Drosophila melanogaster: one gene and its partners. The protein of the gene in region 1 interacts with the protein of each later gene in a pairwise test. Each region holds a gene or a part of one and is shown on either strand. Other genes may lie near its edges.

Region 1 (5,598 bases):
TTGCCCAAGCCGAAATCGGAAGCAAGTGAAGGCAAAAACGTATCAGGGAATACCCTCACAATGGGCTAAAATAATTAAACAAATAGAAAAAAACAAGAAGACTTACACACAGATTTCAAGTCTTATAGGAAGATGATAGTTTCGCAATTTATGCTTACAAGAGCTGCTAAAACATAAAACATGTAAACTGACTTGGGTAATGAGAGATATAACACATATTCAGCGAATCGCATCTGATTTTGTAAGTCTCCAAGTTCTTGTAAGAGCAGACAGCTTATGAACAAAAAGTAAACTGGAAGTTGTGGAGCGTTAGAAACTGCGTGGACGGCTTTTATAATAATGCGAGTGAGTTGAGCGGCTTGCCTGAGATCCAGATGAGGATGCAGGGTGGGTGGGGTTCTTTTCGCTATATAAAGTAAGGTGCGGCTGGGCTGTAGAGCGGAAAAGCGGCGCAACTGAAAAACGCGTTTAATTGAGCTTACCTGCCTGCAACCTGGCTGCCCACTAGCGCCATCTAGCTGCGTGCGGCTGCACCAAAAGCCGGCTTTGTTGATTTTTTCAGTTTGCCACGAACAGAAGAAAAAAAAAAACCGAAAACAAAATCGATGATTCATCGCTTGGTTTGTTGTTTTGAGTGGATTTCGCCAACTGCAGCAGGCCCACAAAAATACTAGACTGTTGGCGCTTGCCGCCTGCTGCTGTTGTTGATGTTGCTAGTTGCAGTGTTGCTGGTTGACGGTGACGCAGTCGCAGTTGCAGTTGCAATTGCAGCTGCGCCAATTCTCCTCTGGTTTGCCGTTTGCATTTCGGCGCTTTACGTTCAAAACAATTATTATTCTGGCAATTAATTTTGATTTAAGCAGCGATTTTCAATACATTTCTATACATACATATAAACGGCTTCATATGTATAGACTGCTTTCCTAGCTCTTTGTAACCCCCCATCGAGTCTCCCTGACGGTTGAATGTCTCGATTTCTGTGGATTTTCATTTCGAGTGCAGCGATAAATAAACGACACCTACAATGCATATCCGAGATGGCATCTTTTAGATTGCGATGCGATTCGAACCGTTCGTCCGATAGGTAAAGTAATAGAATGAGGGAAATTAATTTGTTTACCTCAACTCAAAAAAACTAAATGTGTTGGTGGTTTCTGTTTTCTTGTGTTTTATTTATTTAAAAAAATTAAAATTAAATACATGCAAGTAAATGGCTACCTTCACCATATTTACAAGGCTTAAATCATAATGTTTAAGGTAAAATAAATTATAAGATTAAATTATAAGTTGGTAGGTATGTCGTATGAATTGGGGCTTAATTATCTGGCACCTTTTTGATTTGTACACGAATGAGTTTTAACAACGAACTATAATACAAGGAATTGTCAACGAAAACAATCTAATGCTAAGCTCTCAACTGCGATATGAGTTTTGGAATAATTTAGCGATAACTCTAAATAAATATTTCTGATAAACTAGAGACCCTAAGAGGCAATAAAATTGCCCTGACTAATTTTTGGCACTGACTTTTCCCTGAATCTGACTTCTGACTTTGGCTAAACTGACTAAGATTAATAAATGGCCGGTGGTTGCATTTGGTATTCCCCGCCCTCCTCCTCTTCACCATTACTGCTGCCCACACTGCCGGCGTAGTAGAGTTGGTGTGGATTGTGTCCCTCCTCGTAGACCTGGAGGTGCTGCTGTAGCTGCTGCTGATCAAAGCCCCCTCCTGACCCACTGGGACCTCCACTCTGCTCAGTCTGGCAACCGCTTTGCAGGTGCTTGGCCAGCAGGGACATACGCGAGAAGGACTTGGTGCAGGTGGGGCACGAGTACTTCTTCACATCCGAATGGGTTTGCATGTGCGCGCGGAGATTTGACCTATCCGCGAAGGCCCGATTGCAGTGTTGGCAACTGAAGGGCTTCTCTCCCGTGTGGGTGCGTATGTGACCCTGGAGGAGCCATGGTCGCGAAAACGCCTTGCCGCAGATGGGACACTTGCAGGGCAGGGTATGCGTGCGAATGTGCATCTTCAGGGCGCCCAAGGACACATAGGTCTTGTCGCAGTTCTTGCAGCTGAAGACCTTCTTCACCTGATTGCCCTCGGCCGACGGACAATGGAACTGCTGGTGCTTAGAGAGTCCCGAGTAGGTGGAGTAGCTCTTTCCGCAATCCTGGCAATGGTATCGCGGCACTCCCACTGGCTTTTGCATGCTCTGTGCTGAGGCTACATTAGCTGCCTGAATCAAAGCCGAAGCTTGATCCGTGCAAAACTCGGTTTGGTCGACTATCGCACCTGATCCTCCAGGCTGGCTTCTAATGATCTTGTACTCGGTGCTTTCGTAGGCGTGCGTTTGTTGATGCTTTACCAATCCTGCATAGGTGGCATAGCACTTGTTGCACTGCTGGCACTGGTAGTACAGATCATTGCTGCTCTTGATCTTCAGCTGGTTGATGTCCTGATTCTCCTGATCCTCTTCCATGTCTATCGGAGGCGGCGCATGTTGCGGAGCCATGTGTTGCATGCTCAGCAAAGCTCTGGCCACATTCTGCAGATTCATGTTTTCGCTCAGCACTCTCCTCTGGGTTACGGATAGGTCCTCCGGTTCGGCCAGTGGAGTCGGGGGTGGATAGAACAACTGGGGTGATGGAATCGGAGGTATCTCCTCTTTGATGTTCTGCATTTTCATACAGTCCTCATACTCGGCTATGCTTTTGAGTAGGTTGTTATTGTAGTTTCGCAGGGGAAATTGTTCCTCATCAGAGGGTTCAGCCTTGATGATGGTTGGGCTAGCATCTCTTGTATATCGAAGAGGCAGATGCTGTTCTGGTTCCGGCTCCGGCTCCATTACTTCCTCCTCAGGTGGCAACTCGAACTCGCCGTAACCCAGGCGAGCAAGACTCTTGGCGATTTCCTCCCGGGTGAAGACATCCGGAAAAGCGCGGGCTATCTCACGGGTTTCCTCCCAAATGCGACGGGCCAACTGCTCCTTGGTCTGATTCATGGCTGCATCGAAGCGGCGCCTCAATTCCGTGGGCACCGGCTGAGGTTCCGGTTCGGATTTAGCCATCCAATGGGGCTCCATAGGCACTGCAGCCGAGGCCACACTCAAGTCCACTGGTCCTTCATCTGTTGAAATCAGCATAAAGTTAAAATATGCCTGTAAATCACTTCCGTAGCCTTAAACCTACCATGACTTAGGTGATCCTCTGGGCTGGACTCCTCCACCATTATCGGACGCTTCTTGAGCGGGCAGCGGCTGTACTTGAGTTTATCCATGGTTGCTATGTTATTATTCCTTATGGTTACTGATCACTGATCTTCGATTTTGTATTTAATACCGATCCTTGAACTTAAATCACTGCTCACTCATTTGCTTTCGCCACACGCGTCTCGATCGCTTGGAGTTCCTTGCTCGAATGATGCAACCCGGCAAGGATCAGTCCGGTTTTATAGACTCCCGATCAACCCCCTGGCAGGATGATCAACCCCCTGGGCAAAAAGGATCTTGGCGTCTACCTACTTCCGATGTCGCCCGGGATTCTGTAAATCCACCCCGAACCACGAGCCAAAAGATCCATTCAGCGATCGAGCCACAGCTGTGCGTTCATTGAACGCAGATACAGCTGCAGATCGGGCAGTCCGGGGGTACCACTGCCATATAGAGAATCGTTGAGAGAGGGAGGGACCTGGAGACGAGAGGAACAAATCTGTGTGTAAAAAGCGAGCACGTGCCACAGGGACTCTCTCCGTTCCACTCGCCGATCGCCACCAGCTGCCTCTCTGGTTCAGCTCGTATTTCCCCTGAATTTCAATGGTATGAGTGAGCGGCAGCTGGTGGCGAGCTTGCTATTGCTATATACCCGATCAAGTTTATTTATAAGCCTCTTTCGGGTCCGCCTCACACGATCGCTTTGTATATAAGCCTAATGGACGTTTGCTCTTCGTGAGCAGGTGAGCATGCTCTTTGGAGCCCCACCAAGAGAAGTTTCGTACCCCACAATTTTCAACTCTCTTCGCTCTTTGGGGCGCTCTTGTTCCAACTGTCAGTCGTCCCACGAACTTAAGAGATAGCTTTCTGTGCTATTCGGAGGATAATTCAGCTGTGTTTTCTTAAGCTTCTTATTATGTTTACTATTCAAATTTTTCTGAGCTGAGCTTAAACGATCACATATTCGGCTGACTTTGCTGATCGGAGAGTGTGAAGATTTTTCAGGGGCTCGACTTAGGAAATTATGCCCAAATATTTAAATACCATAATAATTAAAACGTTCTCAATTAAAATCATTAAGATAGAAGATATTACAATAAAGGTACAGGAAAGTTGTTCTATTTTCTCTTTCAAAGCTTTTCATTTGTTGTATAAAATCGCACGCTGTTACAGAAGAAAAGAAGCACTTAGGATTCCAATTGATCCTTATCGGAGCGATCCTCTCCGGCTGGCAGCTGAGTAGGATCAGCACGTGACATTGGCTCCGCCATTAAATCGAGCCAAGCTACAATGCAATGTACCCACTTAGACGTCCACAAAAATATTAATCACCAGGACAAACAGCGCGCAGATCTAAGGTAAATCAACCTTTCCCAGAGTATTGTTCCGGTTCTCCGCCTCCTCGTGTATCGGTGCACTCGGCAGAAATAACCCCCTAACGGCCATGAAATTTCAATTCCCGATATTAAAGAATCCCGCCATCTGCCAGCGACCTCCAATCCACCCCAAAATGGGCATGTGCCCGGACAGTTACCTGGCTTTATTTTTCCGAACGGAGCTGAGTGCCTTGGAATGCGCCAAAAGAGAGAGGTTCGTGCAAATCTACCTGGCGCAGTGGTCCCACCCCAAAATCCACGGCATCACCAGACAACCTTCGTCGGAATAAAGCCGGTGATGGTGGTGGAATTGCAGTTTTGGACGTTACTTTCTAGCCAACCCCTCGTCGAGCGTCTTGCAAGGAGAGTCGCACCCCCCGATCATCATCTATTCCCACATCTGCCGACTGTGACACGTACCACAAGGAACTGATTTCGTCTTGGAACTGATTATTCCATGCCACGGGTATTTGGCGCCAAAATCCTGTAACGAACTCAGCTGGCCGGGATGTGTTGTGATCCTTGTAACAATAGGAAATGTTCTCTGATGGTACATTGAAAAGTGATTTTTGAATTATAATTAACTGGAATTGAGAAACTATTAATCGGTCTTTGATGCTTCGTTGGCTCATCTTTTATAATGAAATTTTAATTCAGGGTAAGCAAATTATGCCTTCAATACTCTAAGATCAAAAAATCTGATACTGATCTTTTATGAAGTGTTTAAGATTCAAAAAACCTTTAGAGATTGCCATAATTAGAGTGCTAAGTCTCCCGAGTTCTTTAATGTATATTTAAGCATTCTACAATATACAATAATATTCAACAAAAATATTCTGTTTCTGATCGGATTTTCTGCCAATAAAAAGATTTCACCAAGTATTAAATCAGAATTACTTTCTTTAAATACACCCTTAATTTTCTTATTTATAATACATTTCAAATATGTGCATCCATCATCTTGATCCATGATCACAGCTCAATTGTGCGACTAGCCAGCCATCTGCCGA
Region 2 (5,719 bases), on another chromosome or scaffold:
GAAATAGTTCGCACAGAATAGTTTAAGCAACAGTTTATGAAAATGCTGAAGTTAACATTTTGAAAATGGAAAATTGGGTTGTTTTTATCTGATCTAGACTTTATTGTTTAATGCCTTGGCTACGAAAACGTGCATTTGTCTTCTGTTTTTGGGGTTTGTTGTCCGATTTTGGAAGTAACATTATCCTAACAAACTTAATGTCCCATTGCAATATGGATGGTATAGATGATATGGATATGTTTATATCGAGAAAGAGAAAACCAGACAAAATGAGTAGGCCATATATGCCCTGATGCGATTACCAAAAAAGTTACTAATCATGATCCTTAGGGATCAATGGGATCGCCTAATCATCGTCTGCTCACTTGCACAACAAATTATGACAATAGTTATTCTATCGAAAATGACTCATGTGCATTACTAATTGCTGGGAAAGTTTATAAAAGCCCAGCGTGTTTATACGCGACATTAGGGATTAATTTATCAATATATTATTGGCCAGCAGTCTTATTATTGGAAAGAAAATTTTATTTGAAATAACAAATCCCCTAAACGAATAATAATAATCCTCATACTACTGACTTAAAAACTGTAATAATTGTAATAAAACATAATACATTTGTAGAGAAAAATAAAAATCTACAATTTTTAACTTCAATAAAATTATAATACCGCTGCTTAAGTATACCACTATATTTGAGTACTTACATACTGTTCGATGTGTTCCAATGCATGTAAAAAGTCTTGGCGCAACTAGACATGGTGGAGAGCAAAACAGTTTCCATACAAATTAAAGTGAGCAACGTAACAAAGGATGTGGCACCAAACTTTGGAAATGGAATCATCATTTTGCATCTCATTGGCGATGGCTGAGGCGAAGATAACAAACAGTTTCTGTTCTTAATCCTCTTTTTACCAACAAAATGCCGTGATGCCTTTGATTCTATCCCTGCTTCCACCAGTACTGATGAATGCTTCTCGGGTGGTTGTCTTTTACTCGGTGAATAAAGCGGCTTGAGATTGTTAAAACCTTGAAACTTGCTTTTGCTCTTAGACTTTCGATGCATAGCTGGTTGCTGTTTATTCGTTGTCGTAAGCGCCTTATGTCGAATTTTTGGGATACTCTCAATACTTCCTGGCACGTACAGCTTAATGCTTAAAGGTTTTCCAGAGTATAGCTGAACTTTATGTTTCTCCTTTTGTTGCTGATGCCGGTGAGATTTGCAATTGGGGAAAGCTACTGGTGGATGTGAGTCTTCAAGCACTTTACTGGTAGTTAAGCGCCTCTTACATGCCAACATGCTCCGACGTTGACAACTGTCATGAATCTGAGACTTTGACTGGGTCCAGGAAACAGTAAGACGCAGTTGCTTTGATCGTTCTTGCATACCGCCAGCAATGTTTTCGATGTTAGATCGTTAGTAGCTTTCTTGCTAAATGCATACAATAAACCTCCGAAATAAGAATATGTTGACTGGCTACATCTACATCTGTGTCATTCCGCACCAAAGTGTCTTGCTCCATCTGCAATCAATAAAATAACAATTTTTACAACAAAACGCTGTAGCCGTGTACGAATTCTGGGCATAAAAAAAAAACACTGAAACTGCAGTGTAACTTGTAACATGATTTTCTCACTTTGGACGGTATAGTTACGAAGCGCACCAACAGACTAAAGACTACTATGCGGTTTGGTTGTTTACTTTACCCTTTAAAAGATTTCTTATAAATGAGTAAATTATATGTAGTGCGTTATAAAGTCAGGTGCAATTTAATTTTTGATGACAATAGTTAAATAATACAACTTTTGTGCATATATATCACTATATAAATATATATGCATATATAGGAACAATCCGAAAAAATTAAATTGAAAAGGCCGTTAAATTATTGTTTCTTTTTCATCTGTGATTTAGGTCTAGTATTCTTTTTAACGTAGACTTAGTTTTCACCTCTTCAAGATTAAATTTTGATACTGAAAATGAAATTGATATAATACCTAGGGTTCTTAGAAAATTTAACCCGACTTTTTTAGAGCGGAATTATACTTTTCAATTTATCTCGTCAAAAAGTTTACTAGGCAGTTAAAAAAGAAACAATACTTTAACGGCATTCTTTTTCGACCCGTATATGTATATGAACTACAAAATAAAAGGATTTCAACCTTCAATTCGAAGGTCGTTTGGCAAACGGAAAGAAAGACAAAAAATATATCGACATGGCTGTGTAAACTGATCAAGAATATGTGTTCTTCTATTGACATTTCCTCCTTTACTTCGTTGACAATCCTGACTGAAATTAGTTTACCCATTGCAAAATCTAACTACATATTATATCTACTCATTCTAAGCTTTGAGATCATTACGCGTTAACATTTTAATGTAACAGTAGCATATTATGCGTATTTATATTTTTATGTAAAGTTTATACAAGTTGATCTTTAAAACAAACAGCCTAAGACTGAGGGATCCTGTTTGCGCCGCGTTCGGCGGCAGTCGGCGAAATAAGCAGCTGTTAATGCTGATCAACAATATTTATATGTTGACTACCGCCACCTGACAGATTACGAGATTTTTAAAAGTACTTCGCTTTAACTTTGGAAACCGCCTAATTGATTTGATTCGACCCTGATTGATCAAAAATACTTATTTAACAGGCCGGCAAACCAATTATCAATTTAAGTGGGATACTACATTTTAATACATGTATGGTACATTTTCTATACAAACAGGGTTGGTAATGGCTTGGCGAAATATTAATATATTTTTTAACATTCATAGTCATAAACAATCAACATGGCATAAGATCAACAATATATAGCGGATCTGCAGTTCTTGACATTCAATTTATAACGGAACAATCAATATATTTCTTAAAAATTGTATGTTTAAGTGATAAAACATCCCAACAGCATTATACAATTACATATGTATGTATACACCAAAAGACATTTCTGTATACATACACAGTGACGACACACTCTCCGAGGAGACAGAAGAAACTCTATATATACACAAACATCTTACTCTCGGGGAAACATTCTTATTCGATACGATTAACAATCCGGTACAAATATGTTGGTATAACATAGTTGACATATAAAAACACAAAATATACATATATGCCCATAACACCGTCTTCCTTTTTTGGTACATCTTTTTCAAAATTACATTTTCACATGATTAAAAATTGTTCCAAACAGGTTTTTGTCTGAAGAGAAATACTCGAAAACAGCTCATTTAAATTAGTTTTTTCTACACTTGGACTACATACAAGAATTATTTATATAAATACTGTAGAGCTAGAGCTATAAAAAAAACTTGTTTAGAGCTGGAACAAAAAACGATGTTTACTTTAACTTTCGATGTATAAAGAAACTTAAGGGCATCGATAATTTTACAAATCAATCGATAGCGATTTTTTTCCAAAGGCCCGTATAATCTTATAATATAAGTCAAATGGTTTGGTTTTTTTTTTTTTTTTTGAATTTAACATATGCGAATTTCTACTATAAGTAATATTCACAGTAAAAACCATACCATATTGATAGGAAACTGTCTTATAAAGATTTTATTTGACATTTGTTGTAGCAGAACCATTATGTAAGTTCCTAGTAAATTTTTTAGCTAGGCTTAAGCACTATTTTATGTTTTAAGAATAATTTTATAATTATTAAAATTTATCTATTACCCGTGTCGAACCTATTTTGATTGGTGTAAGAAGTTTGAAACCCAGTGAAAGAGTTAAGAATTTGAAGTAAATATATATATGGTCAGTATCAAGAGCCGAGTCAGCACTACCGTCTGTCCGATCATCCGTTTTTACGTTACTATCTCTTAGCACCGGTTCTTGACTGCATAAAATTTTTGTTCAAGTTAAAAGAGTTTTCATAATTTTGTTTTCTTAAGTTTAGTCATCGGACGAAAAGTCCAGAAATCAATTGTTAATTAAAGAATTTAAATAGTTTCGTTGTTTTTAGTCATTAAATGTCCACATTCGCTCTGCTGAGATACTGCTAAGATATATAAGTTTAGCCTTGCAGAAGCTATCATTATTATCTCTAGTAATTATATTTTTATAGTGCTCCATTAACGCAAAATTCGCTTCATTGGGATGATGTAAAATTCAGGTCTTCGAAAAATTAATTGCAATTATTGTTTATAACATTATATAAAGATAAATAAAAACTTGGGTAAACGAGCAGGATGACAAAGTGTGTAATATATATAAGGGAATTTATGTGTTTTGCACTTCATTTTCATGAAGCAACAACCTGCGATATATTATTGGTGTAAATAGTATATAAGCTGTACGAGATTCGGTGTTTAAAGTAATTTTCGATATTTTTTGGATAGAATTCCGATTGCGGATAACTATTTGGTTGTATTAGATTCCTGAATTGTTACTAAAGAAACATAAATAGAGGAATTTGACTATCAGGATGGCCAATATAATGAGAAGAACGTTGATTCCTGGACTTTCACACTTGAGGCTGCGGCCACAACTTGTTGCAGCTGGATCGGCCGCGTTAACGTAAATAGTAAATGCTTACATAATTCGAATATATCATTTATATTTGTCCAATTGGAAACTCGTTGTTTAGTTCTCAGGAGACGCGACGGGGAGCAGCCAAGTGGTATCCAGACCCTGAGTTCATGAAGCAGTTTAGCGGCCCGGTGATGTATCCAGACGAGGTCACATCACTTTGGACAGTGCCACCATGGAACAGTTAGTTGGTAACCCAATATTAAACTGACCCTTGAACTAATCGCTTGACTTACCTCCTCTACTAGGCAAAGTAACGCCTGTCGAAAAGTCGGTGCGTAATCTGACCTTGAACTTCGGCCCACAACATCCCGCCGCCCACGGAGTCCTTCGTCTTGTGCTGGAGCTGGATGGAGAGGTTTAAGCTGTTAATCGACCACAGGTCTTGTGTAAATTAAAACCTCTGTTATTGCAGACCGTTATGCGTGCCGATCCGCATATTGGGCTGCTGCACCGTGGGACCGAAAAGCTCATAGAGTACAAGACATACACCCAGGCATTGCCGTATTTTGACCGGCTGGACTACGTCTCGATGATGTGCAACGAGCAATGCTACTCTCTGGCTGTAGAAAAACTCCTTAATATTGATGTGCCTCTCCGTGCTAAGTACATTCGAAGTAAGAATACAAAGTAATTTTCTCTTGCTCTTGACTTTGTAGTCATTAAGAAGATTTCAATAGTTTCGCTTTTTTAATATATGTATATATATATTATAATTTAGCATTGTCACCATCGCCATAAATCTTACGCAACAAAATCTTTTTAAAAGTTCTATTTAATTTTTGATTACCAAAAAAAAAATATTTTAAATTTGGGTTTGATTATTAAAATTATTTTAATCTAAAATTTAAAGTGAGATGAAAAAGTACCCACTATTTTTGGCACTGAAAATTGTTTTTCTTGTACAAAAATATATTAAAACCAATGGTTCGTGTAGTTCTTGTCTCTCAAACCAAAGACACTAGAATAATTCTAGTGTCCTTGCTCAAACCATGTAACATACATATTTCGAAGCTTGAAAAATGAGCCAAGATATCAGGGTAATATAAAAGATAATTAGAAGAGACTATAAATTATATTCTTTTCTGGGAAAACTGACTTGCAGCGCTCATTGGTAGGACGGTATGAATTTACGGTCTTATCGAATTAATGATCGTCGGACCGCTTGAAGAAT
Region 3 (5,165 bases), on another chromosome or scaffold:
TTCCCTGTAACTCGGCCTTTTGTGTTCAATTCGAAAGTAGTTCTCTAAGCGTATCGGCCGAAAACAGTAAGAAATTTGCATTTGCTTTAAATCTTTTACCATTGACTTTTAAAGCTTTTTGAAAAGCCATATTAACTTTTATTTTATATGTTTACTTAATGAGCTGCAAATCTGTTTTAAACACTTCTCTCCTTATTTGGATTTGGATTATACTTCATTTTTATTAAAAGCCTATAGTTTAAAGTTTTATTTTTTTGGAAACACTCAAGATCCGTTTCCAGCCTCAGACAAATGCCCAATGAAATTGATAATCTTGTCTTTCTATCCTAATTTAATGCCTTCTTTCTTCTCAATACCAAAACGAACTTAACTTCTTTGGTCATTTGTCTGGGCCAAGTGACAAACAACATCAAACTTATCATCCATCAAGCAATGAATATCAAACTACAAGAACAGCGTTGTTTACACAGCTTGAAAATTTCAACAAACCCAAGAATAAAATATTGTAACATTTTGTTGTAAACGAAGAAAGAAACTCAAAAGTGCAACAATTTAAATATGAACCCAAAACAGAAAAAAAAACGACTCTTCATTTGATGAACTGCAATCCCATTACAATTTTACCAATCCAGAGACACACATTATATTTTACTTTCATTTTTTGAAGAACCATAGACATAGCATTAATTAACTTTAGTAAAGGGCTCCTGGAACAACAACCGACCACATTAAGTCTAAGTGAATGTTGGATGCGTGAGGACTTGCGCTATATTGAAATCTTGCCAACACCTGAAAGTCAGAACCGCCCGACGATTGGAGTGATCCGAGTACTGGCTCCAAGCTAAATTTGCTATGCATTTTAACCATTGTATCGAACATAGACAAACCAAAAAAAAAAAAAAACAAATCTGTAAACACGTCCAAAACAAAAGCGAGGACGTGGATGCACAAGAATAGATTTCCTGAAAATAAAGTGGAAAGTAATCCAGATTCTTTGGTTGAGCAATTCTATTCTAGTGTAAGCACCTCCTTCAAAATCATACGATATCAAAAATACAATTTGTAGAATTTAATGCCAAAACAAGCAAATACAAAATCCAAGTTAACTCTTCAATCAAGAACAATTGTAACGTAAAAAGATTATAAAATAACTTATTTGTGGCAATATATATTTCCAACGTTTTCCCCCCAAAAATTTCCGGCAATAAATTGATGTACCAAGTTTTAAAACTGATTGTTTATTTCTATTGGGTTTAAAAACACTTCATCTCAACGTTTATCCACGAAGAGAAATTATAAAACGGAAGTATGTTTTATCCGCCTTTTTTCACAATTGTAAAGAATACAACGCGGGGGTAAATTTCTTAATAACAAAAAAGTTATACTAAAATTGGCTATCTAAGAATTAATAATATACACACAGTAGTGGAAATATTAATTTATACAATTTAATCAGTTTTCAAGATTACCATTATTTGCTAGCCTAGTTGGTAACTAAGGTCTTGAATTGTCCGAAAGATTGATGTATTTTCCCTTCTGCAGGGAAATTTTCTTGGGCAGGCTGATGAACTCTCCTCCGTTGGTACATTTCGTCGGGGATTCCGGGAAATCTGCCTTAGCGTAAAAGCTTTTCTTGCGGTATGGCAACTTTCGGCGATCGGGTTCAACCCGTTTCATGGGGTCCAGCGTCATAAACTTGCCCTCCAGAAGACGTCGTTCCTGTTGGGTAGACGGCACTTTGCTTTTGAATCCAGAAAAGAGGCCGTGGGAACTCATGTGCGACATTAAGCGCGCCCACACTCGATAACTTGAGGTGCAGTCCTTATATGGGCACTCATAAAATCGCTGCTGCGTGAATTTGACTTTATGGCTCCTCGTGTGCCTCCTGTAGGATCCTTGGTTAGCGAAGGACATGTTGCACTCCACGCAGATGAAATCGGATACATTGTGAACGCTGTTCTCGTGGCGGATAACGTCGAAATAGCGTGGGAATATCTGGTTGCATCTGAGGCACAGAAATTCCAAATCCTTTGCGCCGCACATGGTCTTGTTGTGTTTCATCGTCTTCATGTGCTCATGTAGTTCGTGTAGTTTGTGGAACTCTGAACCACAATCGCGGCAATAGTAGACCGGATTCGGGCGGGGTTTACAAGAATGCATGCGTATGTGGGTCAGGATTTCGAGCACATGGCCGCAACAGGTGCACAGCATCCGAGTGGCTTGGGTCTTGTCCTTGAAGAACTTGGTGACTGCCAAGCCATCGCGTGACAATCCCACGCTGAAGAAATCCACGGACGCGGTTTTCAAAGATTCTTCGACTACGATCTCCATATGCTCGTTTTTTTCCAATGGATCTTCCTTCACTGGCTCCGCGATATGCTGATCGAAAGAATTCTCCTCATCATTCTTTTCCGTTTCTACCTCTTCTTTGTTTGATGTCACCTCCAACTTGATCTGAAATGCAGTGGAGTCGTCTATTTCGATGGGCCTCCGGTGAAACTCGTCCTGGGCCGTGCCCCACTTCTCCAGGGATTCGCTTATGCGCAAAGTCTCTCCAAAGCAGGGCTCGCAAATGCAGTAATTTTCCCCCAGGATAGCAGCCTAAAATACGTGGGTTTCTTTGCATTTGACATCCATTGGACTCACTTTCAGAACTTACATCAATTTTGTACCAATCGAAAAGTCTTTGCAGCAGTTTATTGGCCGATTTGAATTTGGGCTTCTCGAGATCGATCTCAATTGCTCGGTTATCCTTGCATAGTTTGCAAATTTCCGCTTCTGTCATTTTGCTGATATTTTCGAGGAGGTCCAAAAACCAAGTTAATAAAAGGCAAGTAATCAATGATTTCTTCGATGTCTGCTAATCGATACTATCGATAGATGTTTAATTTATCGATACAATGCAGAGCTGCTTAATGTCGATAGGCAATTGAATTAATCGATTTTTAATTTACGGACTTAGAAATTTATGCAAATCTAAAAATAAATTAATTTTGATTGATTTGAATAGAGATAGTTGTTCAGATTTAGGAGTTAGGTGAACGATCTGAGATCGAAGTGAATTTTCTAAAGATGCCGCCTGCATATTGAACGGTATAAAAGCTTTCAATGTACACAAATTTGCCTAACATTTGCTAAGAGAACCGGAAAATATTGTTTAATATCATAATCGAACAAAAACCAATTTACAAGTTTAGACTGTAGTTTTTTCATTACCTAAAAAAGTATTTGTGTAATTATTTGAATGTTCGAAACCCAAAACAAGAAAATACAAATAATTATGAAAAAAGTAAGAAGTTGACTAATTGCAATATAAATTTAAAAATTAAAAAATGTTGTAGTGAATCCAGGATACCAGGAAACTAGTTCCATTCGCCTCCGATAACTTCCGAGTATCGATAGGCTCTATCGGCCATCAGAATCGCGATCTAGTTCGGTTCGCGTGCAGCAGAACGCAAAGTACAACAGGATTTTTTTCGTTCCGTGTGACGTGAAAAGTGCAAATAGTAATTGTTCGAATTAGTTTAAGCCTAGCTAACTAACTAAATAAATAGCCATGGTAGGTAGTTGTTGATTGACTGAGATAAAATGCTGACGCAGTGAGCGGTGTCAGTGTGTATGCATGTGAGCCGCGCGTTAACTGGTGTGTGTGTTTTTGTCGTGGCAATGTGTGCGTGTTAAAAAAAGCGGCCGCCGCGTCACAATACAAAATTGTGCTTCGATTTTTCCTAATTGCATTTCGATTTCTCCCTATTTCCGTCTATTTCCCGGATCAGTCGTTTGCGGAAAAGATAACGGGTCTGCTGGCACGGCCGAATCAACAAGATCCAATTGGACCGGAGCAGCCGTGGTATCTCAAATATGGAAGTCGATTGCTGGGCATTGTGGCCGCCTTCTGTAAGTTGTAGGATATATAATAAATTATCTACTAGCTTAACACATTAAAAAGTTGGGAAAAACATCCGTGACATTGGGCGGCCCAAAAATATGTTGCATCGATTTTTGTGTACCACCCTTTGTTGTTGTTGCTGTTATCTATTCGTAGGTGTAGGTGTGCAGTTGTGTTCGTGTGTGTACGCACGCTCTCTGACATTGATAAAGGAAAAACAAGAGAGGGTGAGTGAGAGGTGAGAGGCAGTGAGAGCGGAGAAAGGAAACATGGAAAAGACAACACAAAAAGGATACACAAATTCACACACTGAAAAAAATACTAGTTATGTATGTAGCTAAAGTTTATTTTTACATCAAAATCAAAGAAATGTAGGGTAAAGTGTGAGATTTCCAAATGAATTAAGAATGAAACGTATAATTTTAAGGTAAAACAAAGTCCAAAAAAGGTTTTTTTTTGTTTTGTTATTGAAATATAAAATAATACATTCACCCACTTAACTAAGTGGGCTTCCTGCACTTAATATCTCTTATCTAACCATTTCGTTTGATAACTTTTTATTTCGTGTGTAGGAAATTGCAAGTATGTATAGGAGCTTTTCTGTGTCAAGTTTGGCGCTCTGCTTTTTCTTTCCGCATCGAATGTAATTCTCTGTGCCCATTCAATCGAAATTCGCACTGCCTTTTGTTGTATCAGCAGCTTCCCTCTTTCCATCTCTATTTTTAACTTTGTTTTACCCGTTTGCGTATTTGCTTTTTTATCTGGACTCAGTTAACCTTAACCCTTAGGCTGCCACACGTGTTATAAGTGCAATATCGTAATAAGTCTATGCGTATCTTAAATTCAATTGGGGCATCTTTTTTGTAATTTCATCATCACCTTCTGAATGCATAAAAAAATGCAGTTCAATAAACTTTTAAGTAGTCGTGATCTACTTTGATTAAGTCCAAGTCAATCTTTTTAATCGCAGTTGGGGTTTTGATTATGCTATTGGGTTTCGTGTCGTTAGAATACTTACAAAAATTATTTTAAAAATCAATCTAAACCATACATATGTATATAAATGAAAATTCCACAGAAACAATATGCCTCATTGACATATTATTCCTGGAATTTTTAGAGATCAACCAAAGGAATATTTATTTATTCAAAACGTTTTTAACATCTTTTTTTTCTCTGTACAAAAGCATCTTTTGTTGTTGGATATTCTGGCAATGATTCTCACTTAGTGAAATGCAGAAATTGCCCAACAAATGAACACCATCCACTTAAAATC

The links.
Region 2: the proteins of wor (region 1) and Ephrin interact in a two-hybrid assay, tested with the Drosophila melanogaster proteins (one large-scale study listed by BioGRID).
Region 3: the proteins of wor (region 1) and CkIIalpha-i1 interact in a two-hybrid assay, tested with the Drosophila melanogaster proteins (one large-scale study listed by BioGRID).

The regions. Positions count from the first base shown.
Region 1 is NT_033779.5:15,422,151-15,427,748, forward strand, and holds wor (worniu), read right to left. Parts: upstream 3,431-5,598; 5' UTR 3,281-3,430; coding exon 3,193-3,280; intron 3,131-3,192; coding exon 1,572-3,130; 3' UTR 1,147-1,571; downstream 1-1,146.
Region 2 is NC_004353.4:569,418-575,136, reverse strand, and holds the start of Ephrin (ephrin), read right to left. Parts: upstream 3,383-5,719; 5' UTR 2,966-3,382; intron 1,525-2,965; 5' UTR 1,389-1,524; coding exon 709-1,388; intron 1-708. Other genes in the region: ND-49 (NADH dehydrogenase (ubiquinone) 49 kDa subunit), read left to right, coding at 4,442-4,533, 4,604-4,728, 4,794-4,903, 4,961-5,162.
Region 3 is NT_037436.4:15,814,668-15,819,832, reverse strand, and holds CkIIalpha-i1 (CKII-alpha subunit interactor-1), read right to left. Parts: upstream 2,855-5,165; 5' UTR 2,786-2,854; coding exon 2,660-2,785; intron 2,602-2,659; coding exon 1,495-2,601; 3' UTR 1,212-1,494; downstream 1-1,211. Other genes in the region: fwe (flower), read left to right, coding at 3,557-3,559, 3,777-3,897.